Saccharomyces cerevisiae S288C: one gene and its partners. The protein of the gene in region 4 interacts with the protein of the main gene of each other region in a biochemical or structural test. Each region holds a gene or a part of one and is shown on either strand. Other genes may lie near its edges.

The links.
Region 1: of the proteins of PKC1 (region 4) and SPO7, one has a biochemical effect on the other in vitro, tested with the Saccharomyces cerevisiae proteins (2 studies listed by BioGRID).
Region 2: of the proteins of PKC1 (region 4) and FAR1, one has a biochemical effect on the other in vitro, tested with the Saccharomyces cerevisiae proteins (one study listed by BioGRID).
Region 3: of the proteins of PKC1 (region 4) and URA7, one has a biochemical effect on the other in vitro, tested with the Saccharomyces cerevisiae proteins (3 studies listed by BioGRID).

What each region holds. Positions count from the first base shown.
Region 1 is NC_001133.9:134,252-137,195, forward strand, and holds SPO7 (Nem1-Spo7 phosphatase regulatory subunit SPO7), read left to right. Parts: upstream 1-1,602; coding exon 1,603-2,382; downstream 2,383-2,944. Other genes in the region: MDM10 (Mdm10p), read right to left, coding at 1-1,414; FUN14 (Fun14p), read left to right, coding at 2,663-2,944. UniProt on the Saccharomyces cerevisiae protein: Regulatory component of the NEM1-SPO7 complex which acts as a phosphatase and dephosphorylates the phosphatidic acid phosphohydrolase PAH1. Essential for the formation of a spherical nucleus and meiotic division.
Region 2 is NC_001142.9:123,274-128,111, forward strand, and holds FAR1 (cyclin-dependent protein serine/threonine kinase inhibiting protein FAR1), read right to left. Parts: upstream 3,056-4,838; coding exon 563-3,055; downstream 1-562. Other genes in the region: SSY5 (Ssy5p), read right to left, coding at 3,580-4,838. UniProt on the Saccharomyces cerevisiae protein: Inhibitor of the cyclin-dependent kinase CDC28. Necessary for cell cycle arrest. Involved in pheromone response. Contributes to mating efficiency. Required for oriented polarization of yeast cells in response to mating pheromones.
Region 3 is NC_001134.8:143,454-147,608, forward strand, and holds URA7 (CTP synthase URA7), read right to left. Parts: upstream 2,276-4,155; coding exon 536-2,275; downstream 1-535. Other genes in the region: MIN6 (Min6p), read left to right, coding at 1-119; mitochondrial 54S ribosomal protein uL16m MRPL16, read left to right, coding at 2,734-3,432; APL3 (Apl3p), read left to right, coding at 3,756-4,155. UniProt on the Saccharomyces cerevisiae protein: Catalyzes the ATP-dependent amination of UTP to CTP with either L-glutamine or ammonia as the source of nitrogen.
Region 4 is NC_001134.8:13,679-19,269, forward strand, and holds PKC1 (protein kinase C), read right to left. Parts: upstream 4,019-5,591; coding exon 563-4,018; downstream 1-562. Other genes in the region: putative Rab GTPase-binding protein SRO77, read right to left, coding at 1-201; SEA4 (Sea4p), read right to left, coding at 4,499-5,591. UniProt on the Saccharomyces cerevisiae protein: Required for cell growth and for the G2->M transition of the cell division cycle. Mediates a protein kinase cascade; it activates BCK1 which itself activates MKK1/MKK2.

The DNA of each region.
Region 1 (2,944 bases), on a different chromosome or scaffold from region 4:
CAGTTGCTGATATAGATATTGCATTATCATTCTTTTCATCATCGGATAAACTTTCTTGAAAGCCTCTAGTGAATACCAGCTCTGTCCCGGCAGATATTAAAAATCCCCTCCATTTGCCTTCCCATAATAGTTTTAAAGTCTTGTCACGTAATGACGTGCTTAATTTCCAAACACTGGTAAAAATGGAACTATTTATTTTGTTATCAAATTTTTCGATGGTAGATCTTTCTTCATCGATTTTTCTTAATGACGACGAGAATGCATAAGTTAAATCATTTAATAGCTTTTGTTTGTGAACAGGTATATCTAGTGTAGAAGGAATATCGTTAACAGCTGAATTCAGATCCGGTACATTTTCGTGCAGTAGTTTAGTCGCTCTGCTGTTTGGATTTATATCAACCAATTCGTCGGAGATTGGTTCTAATTTATCATTATTGTTTTTATTGGTTTCAAGCAAATGATGCTTTTTTTGCCAAAATTCGCACCCAAATGAAAGATTTGATTCAATCGAATAAAGATTAAAATCATACTTCGCGCAAAAAGTAGAATTTGTCCCTGTCTTGGCCGAATATGTGGAGGATATATGGCCGAATAATGGATTCCAAGATAATGTCAAAGTTAGTGGTCGTCCTGTGTTTGTAGAATGTGTGTAATATCTTAAAGTTGTCGAACAACCGGGGCTTAAACTTACTAACCCTAACCAAAATTCAGCACCAAGCGACAACGAAGAATTATTGTACAGTGAGGTGTTAAACTTGGAAGGCGTGGTAAGGAAATTGTGTAATACTCTATAACCACATAATAGATCACTGGTGGAAAATATCCACTCCTGTAAATTGCGGTGAGAATCTCTTTGAAAATAGCACGTTAAAACGTTTAAGCTTTCTTTGAAACTACTGACACCCTTAAGCATAAATTGGGTTTGTGGACTTAGTCGTTTTATTATCATTGCTTCTAAATCAGAGCTGGGGTAGTACATTCTACCATAATAAAGGGATTTTTTAACAAATTTCGAGTCATGTAGTAATTTCTTGTCATTGTCGACTGTGGTGTTGTCACTACTCAACGTATTCGCACTACTAACACTGAAATTGAGGTTTGGTTGCAATTGTCTGTATGTTTCGGTGGCATCTTGTAATGGGATATCAGTAGAGTTGCGCATGAATTTCTCCAATTGCTGTGCATCGGAGTATAAATAACTCAGAGAACCATTTATCCTGGACCTCGTAGAAAAATCTAAAGAATTGAATGTATTGGGAGTAGATTTGTTGGAAATTTGCAGGTGTATTGCTGAGGGAATTCGGAAATCTAATAATGTTCTCGATGTGGCCGTTATATCCTCGTAGCTATTTTGCGTACTCCAATGGGTGCTCTGATAAAATGCCCTTAGTACTTGGTCCATATAGGGTAGCATCAAGATCGGTCTTCTCTGTTCGTGTCTTTTTCCTAACGTATATTTGCTTTGTTTCTTCACTCAACAATAAAGTCAAAGTAAAATTAAATACTAATTATTCTTAAAAGGGAAGATGCGAAATTTAGCGAAAATCTATTGATTATACACACAAAGGAAGAAAGGTAGTGGAAAGCTAAATAAAGGAGGTCATGGAGCCAGAGAGCATAGGCGATGTGGGGAACCATGCCCAGGATGATAGTGCCAGTATAGTGTCCGGGCCTCGCAGGCGTTCTACTAGCAAGACATCCAGTGCGAAGAATATACGGAACTCCAGTAATATCTCTCCAGCATCGATGATTTTCAGGAATTTGTTGATACTGGAGGATGATTTAAGACGCCAAGCTCACGAACAAAAGATACTGAAGTGGCAATTCACTTTGTTCTTAGCGTCTATGGCCGGTGTAGGCGCATTTACCTTCTACGAACTTTATTTCACTTCAGATTATGTCAAGGGCCTCCATAGGGTTATTTTGCAATTCACTCTTTCTTTCATTTCCATTACTGTAGTTCTTTTTCATATCAGTGGACAATATAGAAGAACTATCGTCATTCCAAGAAGATTTTTTACCTCTACTAATAAAGGGATTAGGCAGTTTAATGTGAAGCTAGTTAAAGTACAGTCTACGTGGGACGAGAAATACACAGATTCAGTAAGATTTGTGAGTCGAACAATTGCTTATTGTAATATTTATTGTTTGAAAAAATTTCTGTGGCTTAAAGACGATAATGCCATTGTGAAATTTTGGAAAAGTGTCACGATACAATCCCAACCGAGGATCGGAGCTGTGGATGTGAAATTAGTCCTCAACCCCAGAGCATTTAGTGCAGAGATTAGAGAAGGATGGGAGATTTATAGAGACGAGTTTTGGGCCAGGGAAGGTGCTAGAAGACGCAAACAAGCGCACGAACTCCGACCTAAATCAGAATGAAAGAGTTGGAGGGCTTCTTCCTTCGAATAAGAGGTCATATTTACCTATGTAAAATTGTAACCATCTATGTTCACACATAAATTATATTTTATACATTATTAGAAGTGAAGCTGTTGTGTCGTGAAAATTTTACAAATCCGTCATTTCATATTTAAGTTTTCCAACAAGTGCTAGAAAACCTAGGGGTTGTTGAAATTGGTTAAACAAGGCATCTTATTATACATACAACAGCATAACGCTAGAGGGGCAAGAAGGAAGAACTTAAAATAATAGGTGTAAAATGACTTTGGCTTTTAATATGCAACGGTTGGTGTTTCGTAATTTGAATGTTGGGAAGCGCATGTTCAAGAACGTCCCCTTATGGAGGTTTAATGTCGCCAATAAATTAGGAAAGCCCTTAACTCGCTCTGTAGGGTTAGGCGGTGCTGGCATAGTTGCTGGTGGCTTTTACTTGATGAATCGCCAGCCTTCTAAGTTGATATTCAATGATTCTTTAGGGGCAGCTGTCAAACAACAGGGTCCCTTGGAACCAACTGTGGGCAACAGTACGGCAATTACCGAG
Region 2 (4,838 bases), on a different chromosome or scaffold from region 4:
GGATCTGGCCCGTGGAAATCGTATGGAATGCATAGGCGGCCCGGCCAGGCACCACGGAAAAAAGCTGATTGTCCTCTTTTACGAGCCGTGGATTTGCAGGAAGAAGCAACGCACGCATGGAAAACACGTGACCTGAAAGTCACCGGAACAAATTAGCCACATCGACGTTTCTTTTACTATACAGCTCGAACAAGCTAACTTGAAATGCTACAACCATGTTGGTATAATTGTGTACAGACACGTGCATTTTTGGTACGAAGAGGGTTACCCGGCTGCGAGTTTTTTTCATTATGAACTAATTCAGGGAAATAATCCCGTTCGGGAAATAGATAAACAACGCCAAACGAAAAAAAATATATAGTGCATATATGACGAGATTTAATTATCGCCAATAGGTTCTTTCTTAGGCAAAATTAAAGTTTACTCAATTTCTATTTATACATTAACTGCTATTTACGACGCATTATATATATTCAGTCATTGCGTAGTATAGACGTGGAGAAACGAAAAAAAAAAAAGGAAAAGCAAAAGCCTCGAAATACGGGCCTCGATTCCCGAACTACTAGAGGTTGGGAACTTCCAGGGTCTGATGAATTCTTTGCTGCTTTACCAGGTCAAAATATTCTATTTCTATCAAACTAGAATGCGGGTGTTCATCCATAATTAGACGCGTTTTTTGTTCACCCGCAGCCATATCCCCCAAATATACTTGCTCGAATGTAGCTTGTGGTAGACGAAGAGTTACATCTAGATAACGCTTAGTGTGCAGCTCCTCTAAAAACTGCTTAATGCTAGCGTTCAATGGAGTCATGCGGCGTTGCGAAATTTCGTATCTCCAATGGTAAGATAACTGGTCAAAGGCCTTTTTTAATTTCTGATCATGCTCAATGTCAACAACGTCACTCCCGTTGAGGACCAAGATTTGCTTGGCGTATCCAGTTGCAATATGGTCATCTGTATCCACGTATGCACTTGTTGACGCTAATCTTTCACAAGTTTGTAATGTTACCTTATACTGTTGCTTTTCATCGCGGAAGACGTTTGGATTAACCACTTCTAAATTATCCAAGAAAGTTGTCCATCCGTCCCAATTTTTATTTATCATTCCGATGAAGGTGCCAAATGGGCCTACTACACCGGATCCATCTCTTCCAACAACAACTATTCCCAGTAAATCGTCTGTGTTTAATCCATCCAATATTTGATGAACACTCTTTAGAACTCTCTTGCGATACAGTTCCCCATCAGCATGCGACAAATTCAAACATACAATAAGTTTTAGCGGCGTATCACTGTGCAATCTTTTCCACGGTAGACGAGAATCATGGGATTGTGCTGATATAACATCAGGCGGCGCTCCTAAAGCGCCTATTATATTCACATGAGAGAGTTCCTTCACTGTAGAAACAATCTCACTTAATGGTAGTGTCTCCAGTGAAGAATTTTCTAGACAATACTTCCATTTGGGAAGCAACCACTTTTCGCAGTTTTCGTTGAACCTCAAGTATATTTCAGGTATATTAGTGCTCTTCAAACTACAAAGTAGTACGTCCTCATTGAACTTGATTACCTGGTAAAACTGGTCTCTAGGAATCTTACCCAGGATCTTCATTTCTTCAAAATCAAACAAAACTAGAAATTTGGAGAATAATATTACAAGGTTATTGTCTACCCATTGTTCGCCATCATCAGAATACATTAGTTTGTCAAACAAGATCAAACTGCCAAATTCGCTATCCTTATCCACATTTGTTTCGATATATTGATCAATTTTCTTTTTCCATTCCTTTTCCCTTTCCTCTAGTTCTTCGTGGTCCACATGATTCACATCTTGCAAGACCCCTAAATCATCACTGGTCCGCATTTCTTGAAACTTCACACTGACCATAACATGTTCACCACCCGTTTTACTAAACCACACTTCAGCAGCACTTTCGTCTATTTCATCATCACAGTCCAGTTTTTCATCATCACTTAAATCAAAAGGGTCTGTAGTTGCCATTTTATTAACGAATGGTGAATTTAAAAATGGGCTATCAAGATAGCTAACGGCCTCAAATTGATTGCTATTCGATAAGCGTGGTGTCCTGAACCCATCACATGAAATATCAGCAGTACGAATGAGCTGCTCCTGTGGTGTAAACTGAGGAAATTCACCTGTGAAGCTTCTCGCCGTTTTCAAATCAATCCATTGCTGTTGCATATTGGATGACGGACCATCATCATGAGCGCCTGCGCCCGTTAGAAGTTTGGATACCATTTCAGGAACAATGTCTTTATCCTTTGGCTTGCTCACTTCGCCACATATCTTACACTCAGGAAACTTGCCTTGGAAATAAAGAGTTTCAAATAGCATCAAATAACAGTTATAGTGGCTAGTGTGTGAACACGTAGACTCCACAACCTTTTCACCGGTAAATGTGGAACTAATACTTTCCTCACAGATTAAACATTTCTCACCTATGTACCTTTTTGGACTGAATTGTGAATTGCATTTTTTTATGTTTCTTTCCAGGCTGATCATGAAAGTTGGTGAATCTTCTTCGTAATATGAATCGCCGTCAATGCGATAATCTTCATCCATAACCGTTAAATTGATGTCTGACAAAGTATCACACATAGTTGTAGAATCAGAAATCGACTCTCGGAGTAAACTAGTAGTTAAATTTGTAGCTTTGATGTTGTATTTGTTGCTACTTGTGATATTTACTGGCGATTGTAAAGCGCTAAGTTGTCCTGTTTTCGAAAAACCAGATGCTACTGATCCCGCTGTTTTCTTCAAACTTGGTGGGGGAGATATAGGCTTGGAAAGATTCAGTGGTTTAGGAATATTGCCTCTTTTGGACATCATTAGGCCAAGATTTGGAGTAAATTGACTCTCTTCAATATACCCAAATGTGGGCATCTGTTGCTTCTTAAATTCTGGTGTCTTTCTAAAAACTTTACCCGATAAACCTCTTAGAAATTTCTTCGGTGGTGATCTTTCAGCGTCACGATCTCCACTTGGTGGAGTGTGTATTTTTTTTTCAAACGAAACTCTTGTTGGTGTCTTCATTAATAGATTGCCTTCTTACGCCCACGAAGCTTTCCAGTGGATCTATAGACTTTGTGTAAAGGATGGTCAAGAAATATAAAAGTAAATAGAAATTTTTTGAATAGATAAGATAATATACACTCTCAAGACAGAGTGAACAAAAAGGATAGTTTTATTTTCTTTTAATAATTTGAATATATTATATACTGTGAACCAAGGTACCTTCGCATTTGAAACCTTTACGATGTCATTTTATTGCCTATTTCCTTTTTAGGTATTTTCGGTGAAATGGCTGCATGTTGAAAATTGCATCGCTGAAAAAAAAAGATATGCAAACAAAAGAAAGTTGCATTCTGAAACGACCGGGTCTCTCTTGCCCGCCTAACAAAACCAAAGAGGTAAATGAAAGTAAACAGATATTTTTCCTTACTTGGAAAAATAAAGCAACAATGAAGGTGAGTTTTATAGTCGCTCCTACAGTGATGCAAGTGCAATGTCTTTTTTTTTTCATCCTGTAATGGGTTAAATAACTTCAAAAAGGCAAATCATCCATCTAGTTGTGGATCAATGTCCCATTGAATTTTAGTTACAGCATGTAGTCTCTCCAGGATATCACCTATAGGTGTGAACAAACCAAACTGCCTCTGTTCACCATCGTATGAATGCAACATACCAACAAGCCCCAAACCTAGACGATCTTCTAACTTGGTCAAGATCCATGCGCCTGAATCCCCCGCACTAGCAAATAAAGGAGTTGGAGATGCAACGACAAACTCGCTACTTTGTAACTTTCCGTCGGCCCAATAAACTAATTTTGTAGAATTTAACTCGCCTGAAGTGTATCCCGTAGAAGCCCCTATTTTAAATACTTTCATCCCAGGCTTCATTTTAAAAATTTTTCGTTTCACATGTAAATTTTGAAATCTTAATGTTGGATCTGGGAATGATTTTAAGCCATTACCTAGGGTATTCTGACATTTGAATGATGAATTAACTTTGATAATAGCAAAATCTGATAATCTGTGATCTACGATTGCTCTCTCGCCCCAAACTACTTGACCAAATTTGTTTGATTTCTGCCAGTTCAAGTTTTGATCTATTCTTTGCACTTCCTCCAAAAATGCTGTTTTCTCCACCGAACCATCAGGATACCTATCTGATTCTTTCGTTAAAACTTTCTTGTAAGAAGTCTGTAAAACATTAGAAGGTACCATGACGTTTGGATAATCTTGCTTCTCAGATAATACAACGTGGGCGCAAGTAATGGCAAATGAGCAGCTTGCAAATTGAGAAAATTTTTTATCACTACCAGTCTGAGGGAATAGATAACCCCCTAAAGTACCTGTAATTTTAGCGCTTGTCTCAGTGGATAAAGACATAGAAATTGGCAATTCAAGTGGATTCTCTGAAACTGCATATGGGGGGGAAAACTGAAATTTAGTTGGGGCTATTGTATCGATAGTTGCTGCGGTATGAGACGGAATACTGCCTACTGCTGATGCAGCTTTTTTAATGTAATCTTTCACACAATACATGTGTACATCTGGGAACAACGAATAAAGAACCTTTATCATTTCATAGTGTTCATGTTGCAAGTTGGGTAAGCCAAACATTATTGTAAGAATTGAACTCTTTGGGGTTATACCTCTAAGTATAGGTGCTATAAAAGCACCTTCCTGGTCAGAGATTATTGAAGAATCCATTTTGGTCAACTCATCTAGAATCATGCCTAATTTATCCATACTTGGTAAGTTGCAATGGCTGCCAATACAAAAGACTGATAAGCATGGTAAAACGCCCGATT
Region 3 (4,155 bases), 130 kb from region 4:
GTACCATTGCGATGTGGGTGTTTGCTGGTCTGATTTGTTCAAGTACATTTTATTTAATGTTCATGTCATCACCTACAATCGACTTCAACTCGAAGAGTAAGAAAAAAAATGATAAATAATCTCCCTGTTCAGTACTTTGGTAAAAGCACGCCATGGAAAATTATTTAGAACTTCCTTATACAAAACTAAATATTTGAGCATATTCTATATTCATACATAGATACATTCTTTGAATTTCAAGACTCTTATTTCTCATTTTGAAAGCCAAGATTGGAGGAAAAATCGTAAATTTTTATCCAGTCAGTAACAACTGTTGGCCAGTCGAAAACTCTATCGAAACAGCTTCTATATGTCAGATAAGATAGATTTATTAAATTAAATATATTCAGGAGAGGAAAGACAACATGAACGAAAAAAAAAAAACAGTGTAGAGAAGCACTACAAATATTTTCTCTTCCAAAAAATATAATATACATAAAAAAATTAGAAATTTATCTTTGTTAATGCAGTAGACTTTTAATTCTAAAATTTTGATTTAAAAGTTGAATTTGTTTTCGCCGGCCTCAAGATCGTACTTACCTTCAATGACATCTTGAAGGATACCAGCGGAAGCAGCAACTAAACCCAAAAATGGTTTGGATGGATCTAAGACCTTTGATGTGTATTCTGGGTGATATTGAGTAGCAATATAGTATGGGTGATTCTTTAATTCCAAAATCTCACAACGCTTTCCAGTGTCGTCCTTACCTACAAAGATCAACCCGTTGTTTTCCAATTCATCAACCATCTTTGGATTGATTTCGTAACGGTGACGGTGTCTTTCATGGACTTCGGAGACGTCACCGTATAACTTCTTGATTTGACTCCATTCAGTTTCATTTTGGAAAAATGTTGGTCTCAAACCTAATCTCATTGAGCCCCCCATGGTTTCCTTGTCAATTTCAGGCATGAAAACGACAACGTGATTTTTTTCATCAATGTCTGGATAAAATTCTGCCGAATGACTGTCTTTTCTTCCCAACACACTACGTGTAAATTCAATGGTGGCAATTTGTAAACCCAGGCAAACCCCTAAGAATGGAATGTGATTTTCACGAGCCCATCTAGCAGCCAAAACCATACCTTCAGTACCTCTAACACCAAAACCACCGGGGATTAAGATACCGTCTGCGGTACTGACCATGTTCCATGCTTCATGAAATTTAGTTTTGTTGCTTTCTTGTGCTTCAGGTTCCAAATCAGTAGCTTCCACCCATTTAATGTCTAACTTACGACGACACTTCATGGATGAATGTTCCAATGCTTTTATCACTGATAGATAAGAATCTTTCAAGTTGGTGTATTTCCCAACCAAAGCAATCTTCACTGTTTCCATGGATTCATCGAAGTTACCTGTTGTGGCCTTCCATTTAGACAATAATTCCAGGCCTCTTTGTTTTTCTTCTTCTGTAAGTGATATTTCATCTAACTTTAATCTGGCGTGTAAGTAATCAATCATCTTTTGTTCCAGTAGCAACAATGGGACGTGATAAGTAGAATTAACATCGTGAACGTTAACCACCTGTTCAGGCCCCACATGACAAAACATGGCAATCTTATCGATTGTTGGTTTATCCAAAGTTTCACTACATCTACAGGCGATCATATCTGGAACTAAACCAAGAGACCTCAAACCTTTGATGGCAGCTTGAGTTGGCTTAGTTTTTTGTTCACCGTGGATGACAGGAACTAGAGAAACGTGTATCAAGGCAAAATTTTCCTTTCCAACTTTAAATTGGAATTGTCTTAGTGCCTCCACAAAAGGAGCACTTTCAATGTCACCAACTGTCCCACCCAATTCAATGATACAAACATCTGGTTCCATACCGGTGTCATCTACAGGAATTTTGGCCACGCGCTCAATCCAATCTTGGATAGCGTTGGTCAAATGAGGGACAATTTGCACGGTTTTGCCTAAATAGTCACCTTTTCTTTCCTTAGCAATAACGTGCGAGTATATTTTACCAGTAGTAATGTTATGATCTTTAGTCAAAGTAACTCCAAGGTATCTCTCGTAGTTACCCAAGTCCAAATCTGTTTCACCACCGTCGTCAAGCACGAAACATTCACCATGTTCCAAAGGAGACATAGTACCTGCATCAATGTTCATATAAGGGTCAATTTTAATTGACGTAACCTTTAAACCGAGGGTTTTCATTAGCATACCAGTTGAAGATGCAAGAACACCTTTACCGATACCCGAAATGACACCACCTGAAACAACAACGTACTTCATTTTCTGTCTATAAGTTTCTTTTGTTCTATTGACCAATTCACTGAGAAACTGCCTGAAACTTTTTCGACCTTAGAATGGCAGAAAAATGGCAAATACTGTAAAATACTTAACATTTAACTAAATTTTATTCTATGCTTTTCCTCTCGATGAGATGAGCTGTGAAAAATTTTGAAAAAAAAAAAAAAAAAAAAAAAAAAAAAAATTTGTTATCACCAATAACGAGAAACCTAACTCTAAAACTTAGGGTCAAAGAACAGAACCCTAGGCTTTGTATCCAGTTGAATCACTAATTACGAAAGAATGCTGGTGGAAATAATAATATCATATTGGTGCTCAAATAACAAGAAGACTTCTTTGGAAGAAATTATTACCAATTAACAGTCCACTTGTAGAGCGTACATATTGCCGGGAAGTTGATTACCTTTCACCAGAGGTACAGAGGAATAGAATTTTGCAACATGTTCCCCTATTTAACAAGAATGAATTTATCCATAAAGATGGGAGGGCTAACTTTAAAAGAAAGTTCCCCCAATGCTTTTTTAAATAACACCACTATTGCTAGGAGATTCAAGCATGAATATGCCCCACGTTTCAAAATCGTACAGAAAAAGCAAAAAGGTAGAGTGCCAGTTCGTACAGGTGGTTCAATAAAGGGATCCACTTTGCAATTTGGTAAGTACGGATTACGACTGAAAAGCGAAGGTATTAGGATATCCGCGCAACAGCTGAAGGAAGCAGATAACGCAATTATGAGATATGTCAGGCCTTTAAACAATGGTCATTTGTGGAGGCGTTTGTGTACAAACGTTGCTGTATGTATCAAGGGTAACGAAACAAGAATGGGTAAAGGTAAAGGTGGGTTTGACCACTGGATGGTGAGGGTACCCACAGGGAAGATCCTTTTCGAAATAAATGGTGATGATTTGCATGAAAAAGTCGCACGGGAAGCCTTCAGAAAAGCAGGCACCAAGTTACCTGGGGTATATGAATTTGTATCCTTGGATTCTCTGGTTAGAGTTGGATTACATAGTTTCAAAAATCCTAAAGACGACCCAGTGAAGAATTTTTACGATGAAAATGCAAAGAAGCCATCAAAGAAGTATTTGAATATTTTAAAGTCTCAAGAACCACAGTACAAACTCTTCAGAGGACGTTGAACGGATTGAACACACCATGTATACATGTATATAACTATTGAAAAATATCGATATTCACAATCAAGTAATCTAGCCATGGCTATGAGTTTATTAATTCTAGTATGCACTGTATACTCTCTGCGGAAGAATAGGAGTTTTTCCCCGGAGTGAGCGCTGAAGAAACACATGACGACGTGAAAAAACACTTGTTTGATCCAGCTGAGGTATAAACACTGAGAAATATTTGAGGGTCAAAGAAGCACTAGGAACGTTACAGTTGGAATTTGCTAGTCAATCGAGTTTCCAATTTCGCAACCTTTATTATAGTACTAATCTTATAAGCCATGGATCGCAAAAAAACACTTATAAACTCAAGTGTTTCTAATAATAACAGTACCATCAAGGGCCTACAGTTATTCATTGCAGATCTTCGTTCTGCACAACAAGCACAAGAGCAGGAAAAGAGAATACAATCTGAAATTGTCAAAATTAAACAGCATTTCGATGCTGCAAAGAAAAAACAAGGCAATCACGACAGATTAGGTGGCTATCAAAGAAAGAAGTACGTTGCCAAGCTAGCCTATATATATATTACTTCTAATACGACAAAACTAAATGAAATTTTATTCGGGTTGGAGCAAACGGTAGAGCTGTTGAAGTCCAGCATATTTTCTGAAAAATTCATTGGATATATGACCCTTGAGTTGCTTTATGAACGTAGTGAAGTTGTTGCCAAAGTTAACG
Region 4 (5,591 bases):
TATCTCCCCAGCAGTAGTTGCAACTGCCAAAAGGCTTTGAGTATAGTCGAATGTGGTAACAGTGATTCGTCCATTTATGCCGTATGTGCATATTTTCTTAGTATCGAAAAATTTGGAGTTAATACCATTTGAGACGTCATGAACTCTCGCGGATTTGATAGCATTTGACACATTCTTCAAATGCCTGCTTTTCTTAAACATTTATAAAATTTTTGTATCTGTTCAATTGACAATTTTGTAACTTTTATAATCTGTCAACTTTAGAAATATGTTAGTAGTAATATAATACTGAGCTGTTTCTTAAATGCTTCCTTAATAATGTAAACAGAATGCGCATTGTTGAACATACGGCTTCGCATCGCATCGCTTAAACGAGGTTTTTCATATGCATGCTCCAAGATAGGTACGAACAAAAAAGAGGCATTGCATCAAAATGGATAGTTTCAGTTTATGTAACAAAATCTCATTAAAAAAACCCTCTCCTCCTATGAAGCGGAACAGTTCAACTTTTCCGCTTAGATGTTTTATATAAAATTAAATAAATCATGGCATGACCTTTTCTTCATAAATCCAAATCATCTGGCATAAAGGAAAATCCTCTAAACTCTTCTTGCTGGCTCGTTGTCAAAACAGAGGGCAGAGGTGTAAGTGTGGGTGGCGCAGAGGTGAATTCTTGCTCGAAATATGATGTATCTTCCGGAGATTTAATTTCTGGGATGTAGGGTGGTTTCACGCGAAGGTTTAAGATATCGTCAAAGTTGATGTTACGGAAGAAAGGTTCTTCCATAACTTCGTCTGCGTCCCTGGGACCAGCACCCAACCTCTTTTCAGGATCTTTTGTTAATAGGCCTTGGAATATTTGTACAATCTCACCTGCCATATCTATTGGGTATAAGGGTTCATCGGTAAGGATAGCGTTAAAAACTTCATCTTCGTCATCTCCTGAGAATGGAGATTGGCACAGTAGCATTTGATATAGCAGCACCCCAAATGCCCACCAATCGACAGCTTTGGTATATTCTTGCTCTTTTAAAATTTCTGGAGCCATAAATTCTGGTGTGCCACAAAATGTAGAAGTTCTATTACCATACCACATTTCATCTTTACACAAACCATAATCGGCAATTTTTATATGACCTTCTGGAGTTAATAGAATGTTTTCCAACTTCAAATCACGGTATATTACACCATTATCATGAAAATATTTCAGAGCCAGTAAGACCTCGGCGGCATAAAATTTGGCCCTTCTTACAGATAGTCTTTGGTTTTGAACATGCCACATTAAGTCACCGCCCCCAATAAACTCCATAGCAAAATATATACGGTTTTCAGTTTGAAAAGAGCAGTATAGATTGGTTAAGAATGGGTGTTTAGTTTTTGTGGCTAACAAAAATACTTTCTTTTCTGCTCTTGCACTCTCGATGTCATGATTTTGAATAATATTATCTTTCTTCAGAACTTTTATGGCACAAAGCCTGTCAGTATTCTTTGATTTAGATAAAATAACTTTACCAAAATTACCTTTACCAAGAACTTTGAGTAATACGAAATTATCTAATGAAACCTTACGACGTTTAGCCGCTCTCTTTTTATGCTTTGCGCTTGTGCTGGTTTGTGATTTCTGCGGAGATTGTTGATCAGTGGTTCTGGAGGCATGAGTACTTGTAGGAGCCAAGGACACTGTTTCTTGTAGTACTTCCTTTGAAGCATGGTCTTGTTCAATTTGAAAGGTTTCACTATTCATATCGCGGAATGGATTTGTGTGTGTGGAATCTATTGTCAAATCAGCTTCACGGAAATCATTTTTGTTCTCCCAGTCTAGTTTCTGTTTGGTCTCTAAATCAATGTGATCAACTTCTAGATCCTCTTGGATTTCCCCACTATCTTGTTTTATTTCAAGTTCCATTTCCTCACGTTGTGCTTTCCACAGTTCAAGTTCATCTCTCATTAAATCATCTTTAGATTCCCAAGTTTGACTATGCTCAATAGATAAATCAGTGAGTCCCAAGGAACGTCTATTCGACGTTGGATCCAGTGTTTTCTCTGGTGATGAAAATTCGGCGGTTTGTTGTGCACCTTCTGTAAAATTTAAATAGGCCTCATTTTCATCGATAAATTTATTTAGTTTCTCACGCCCGTGCGTTTGTAGTGAAATTCTTTTATCAATAATAGGATCATGCTGCTTAGTTGGAGAATCTCTTCCTACCTTCTGAGGCGAAGGAGTTTTATCATGTTTTCTTGGCTGAGGAGGCAAAGGAGCGTTTGCCCTTTCAGCTAATTTGGATGGGGAAAGATCACTACCATTGGCAGTACCAATAGATGACCCCAACTGTGCCGACGGAACTGTCCTCTTCTTTTTCTCTTGATTACGTTTTGTGTCTTGAATCGTTTTCAGAATTTTATTAGCCATTTCCATCGACATGCCACAGAAATCGGGAACCAAATGAGCACATTGAGCATGACACATTATACCACATTCAGAACATTTGCGTACTTTATGTCTACCCCATGGTAAAATATAACCACAGTGACAGCACCATTTAGTACCACGGTTTGAAGTAGGCAGGAATCTATGAGGAATACGGTGGTTCAACTTTGCCTCGTCCGGATCCGTATCAGTAGAAGTTTTAGCAATACACTTAGTAACAACATTGGTGTAACATTTTTTGTGACATAAAAATTTACAATCTTGACATTGGAACCCAGTATACCGAAGGAAATCACCACAATATGCACAGCACATAATGTTGTAAAATGATTTTTGTACAAAGTGGTGGCCATGCTGTTCGAATATCTCTTCTTTCCTATTGATAATAGCACCATGACGATGTAGTCCACCCATCAACTGCTTCCTTTCTATTTGAGAAGACTTGTGGAATCCTAGTGTTAACAAAATCTGCCCGGATGGTTCTAAGACAAACCATGAATTCGTACTGATTTGACTAGTTGATGTATTTTCGCCTTGCACATTCTTTGCTGAAGTAGACTGAATGGCTGAGTTTGAGTATGTAGAAGTCAATGTGCTTCCCTCTTCGCTAGCGAGAGAAGAACCACCATTAATGTTTGAAGCGTTGACCCATCCTTGTTGTTCATTTGTTTGTCCGGCTTTCTTCTTACGAATTTCTTCAGCGATATCGGAAAGCAGTAACCACATTATAGCCACTGGAATGAGCGAGTCGTTCACCTTATCATATACAGTAATCTCGATTTCATTCCCTTTTTCAACTGGAATTTGAAAATCTTCACTCCACCTGTCATTTCTAGAAGGCTTCGTTCTGGCTTTGATCGTATCATCGATTTTTATAGTAACGTAGCTCTCTGGCTTCCTGGCAAACATCGGTGATTGTATATGGTCAACATCTCTAGCAGCAGTTATTCCAATTGTTAGAACGCCAGTCAGTTGTTTTCTTCGGAATTTCGGTTGTTGATTATCCATTATGTCATTGGGTTGGTGTTTAAATTGATCAAAGTCAACGTTAATAGCTTGGTATTTCTTCAAAGCTTTGTTAAGCATTTGAATCCTGTATTTGGATTCCATAGCACCCCCTTCTGCCGCAGAACTACTACGTTGATCACCGTCAATTTGATACAATTTAGTCAATTTAGTATTGGCTTCTTGGTATTGCTTTTCCACCTGTAATTTGAATTCTAATTGTTGCAACATGTATTGGATTCTTTGCGCCAAAGAAGGGCAATCATATTTTACTAAATCCAAACGAGAAAATATGTGTTCATTTGGCGATTTGGTAGAAAGAAACCCGTATTCCTTCGAATTGCATCGCTCATTATCTTCGCTGCCATTTTCACCCTGACTTTGTTGAGCGGTCTTCAACCGTAATTTTTTTAAGCTATCCTCCAAGTACTCAAGATTTTGACGTGCCTCTCTAATATTCGTATTACATTTCTGAATGACCATAACATTGCTAGTCTTTTTCTTGAGGGCAGAAGCTCCCCGAATAATATTTTCTTCGACGGCTATCTTTTTTTTAATGTTCTGCTCCAATTGTGAAAAACTCATGACTGTAAACTGCTCCCTATATGTGTGATACTATACTTACTTTTCCTCGCTAGAGCTTCTCTCCGCAGCTACTGTTCTAGGTTTTATTCCTATTGATTATCTAATATAGTTTTAAAAATCTATACTGAAAGGGGATCGACGCTGAATACCTCTAACGTAAGTGTGGACGAGTGGTGGCAGAGACTTTTACAATGGTTAATAATCAGTCTCTACTCAGCCAAATTGAATAGCAGTGAAATCGTAGCTCTTTTACTGCTCCTGAACCTGTCGTATTACTTTCGATAGAGTAGATCAACTTTATTATCCACGCTTGTTAACTCTTTTCGTCGGTTTTTTTCGCCTTTAAAACTAGGCGGGCTGGGTAATGAAGATAGCAATGCCTCATAAATACAATGTTATACTAATTACGTTTTTTCTTTGGTTATGTATATATATTGTGAGAATAAAGAGAAGTTGCAAGATTTGGTTTATTGTACAATACTACTTATTACACTGGCAGGTGCAACCTGGAGTGGGACAAACATTATGTCTGTCAAACCATTCTTCAGCGTGACCGGCATGCATACCATGGTTGCAACTCAAACAGAAGCTGAACCACTCGTTCAACTTCAGTTTTCTACTTACGAGTTCGCGATTTGCACCATCTTGAGAGTCTTCTGTCTGCATTGGATCGCGTGATTGCGTCCCATTTATTACAAAAGGTAAGTTTGACGTTCCTAGAGGCATGAGACATATGGCACATCTTGGAAATGAAGACCCACAGTGTGGGCAACAATACTTATGTCTTGGCTTTTCATCAGCTGCTTGTGCTTCAGAACTTCCAGTATTAAATTTCTTGTAGTCAGCGTTATTTCTTCTATAGGCTTCACCATTTTTGTAATTTCCAGCACTAGTAGAGACGGCGCTAGAAGGTGAGGATGTGCGCGGAGTGTTGATGTTTTGTTTACAGTTTTGACATTGGATATATATTTGCCGGGGCTTTATGTCTGCAGTTAATACACCAGTTTTAGTTCTCGATAATTTTGATCTTAAAACATCGAACCTGGCTCGCATGGAGAATAATTCCCACGATTTAAGCATATCTCTATAAGTTTGTATCCATTCATCTACTCGTTGGTCGCGGAAATATCTAGGGGAGCCGAAAATTGATATCAGTGCGGCACTCTGAACATCGCTGGTTTTATTAACGTATGATTGCAGTAGATCGATACCATTAGGTGTTATTCCGGTGAGAATTAAACCTTCTAATTCGCCGTTTTCAATAACTGTAGATGAAGTTCTATCTAAGAAAGTGGTTAGGTCTGTATCATTCAAAAACCTTAGAGCTACCCCTAATCGTTCTCTCAAAGATATGGCAGGTTCATAAAGAATATCCCACCAATCATTGTCTGCGATAAAGGCGAAAATAACTCTCAAGTAAGGATCATCTAATTCGGAGGACATTTTTCTGCATTGCTGCCTCCATGCATTGTTACCTGGCAGATCCTTATACGCCAAGTAACCTGCAATAGCGGTGGCAATTAGTCTCAATCTTTCCTTTTTTGCAGATCCCAATATTTCTACAGCCTTTGGG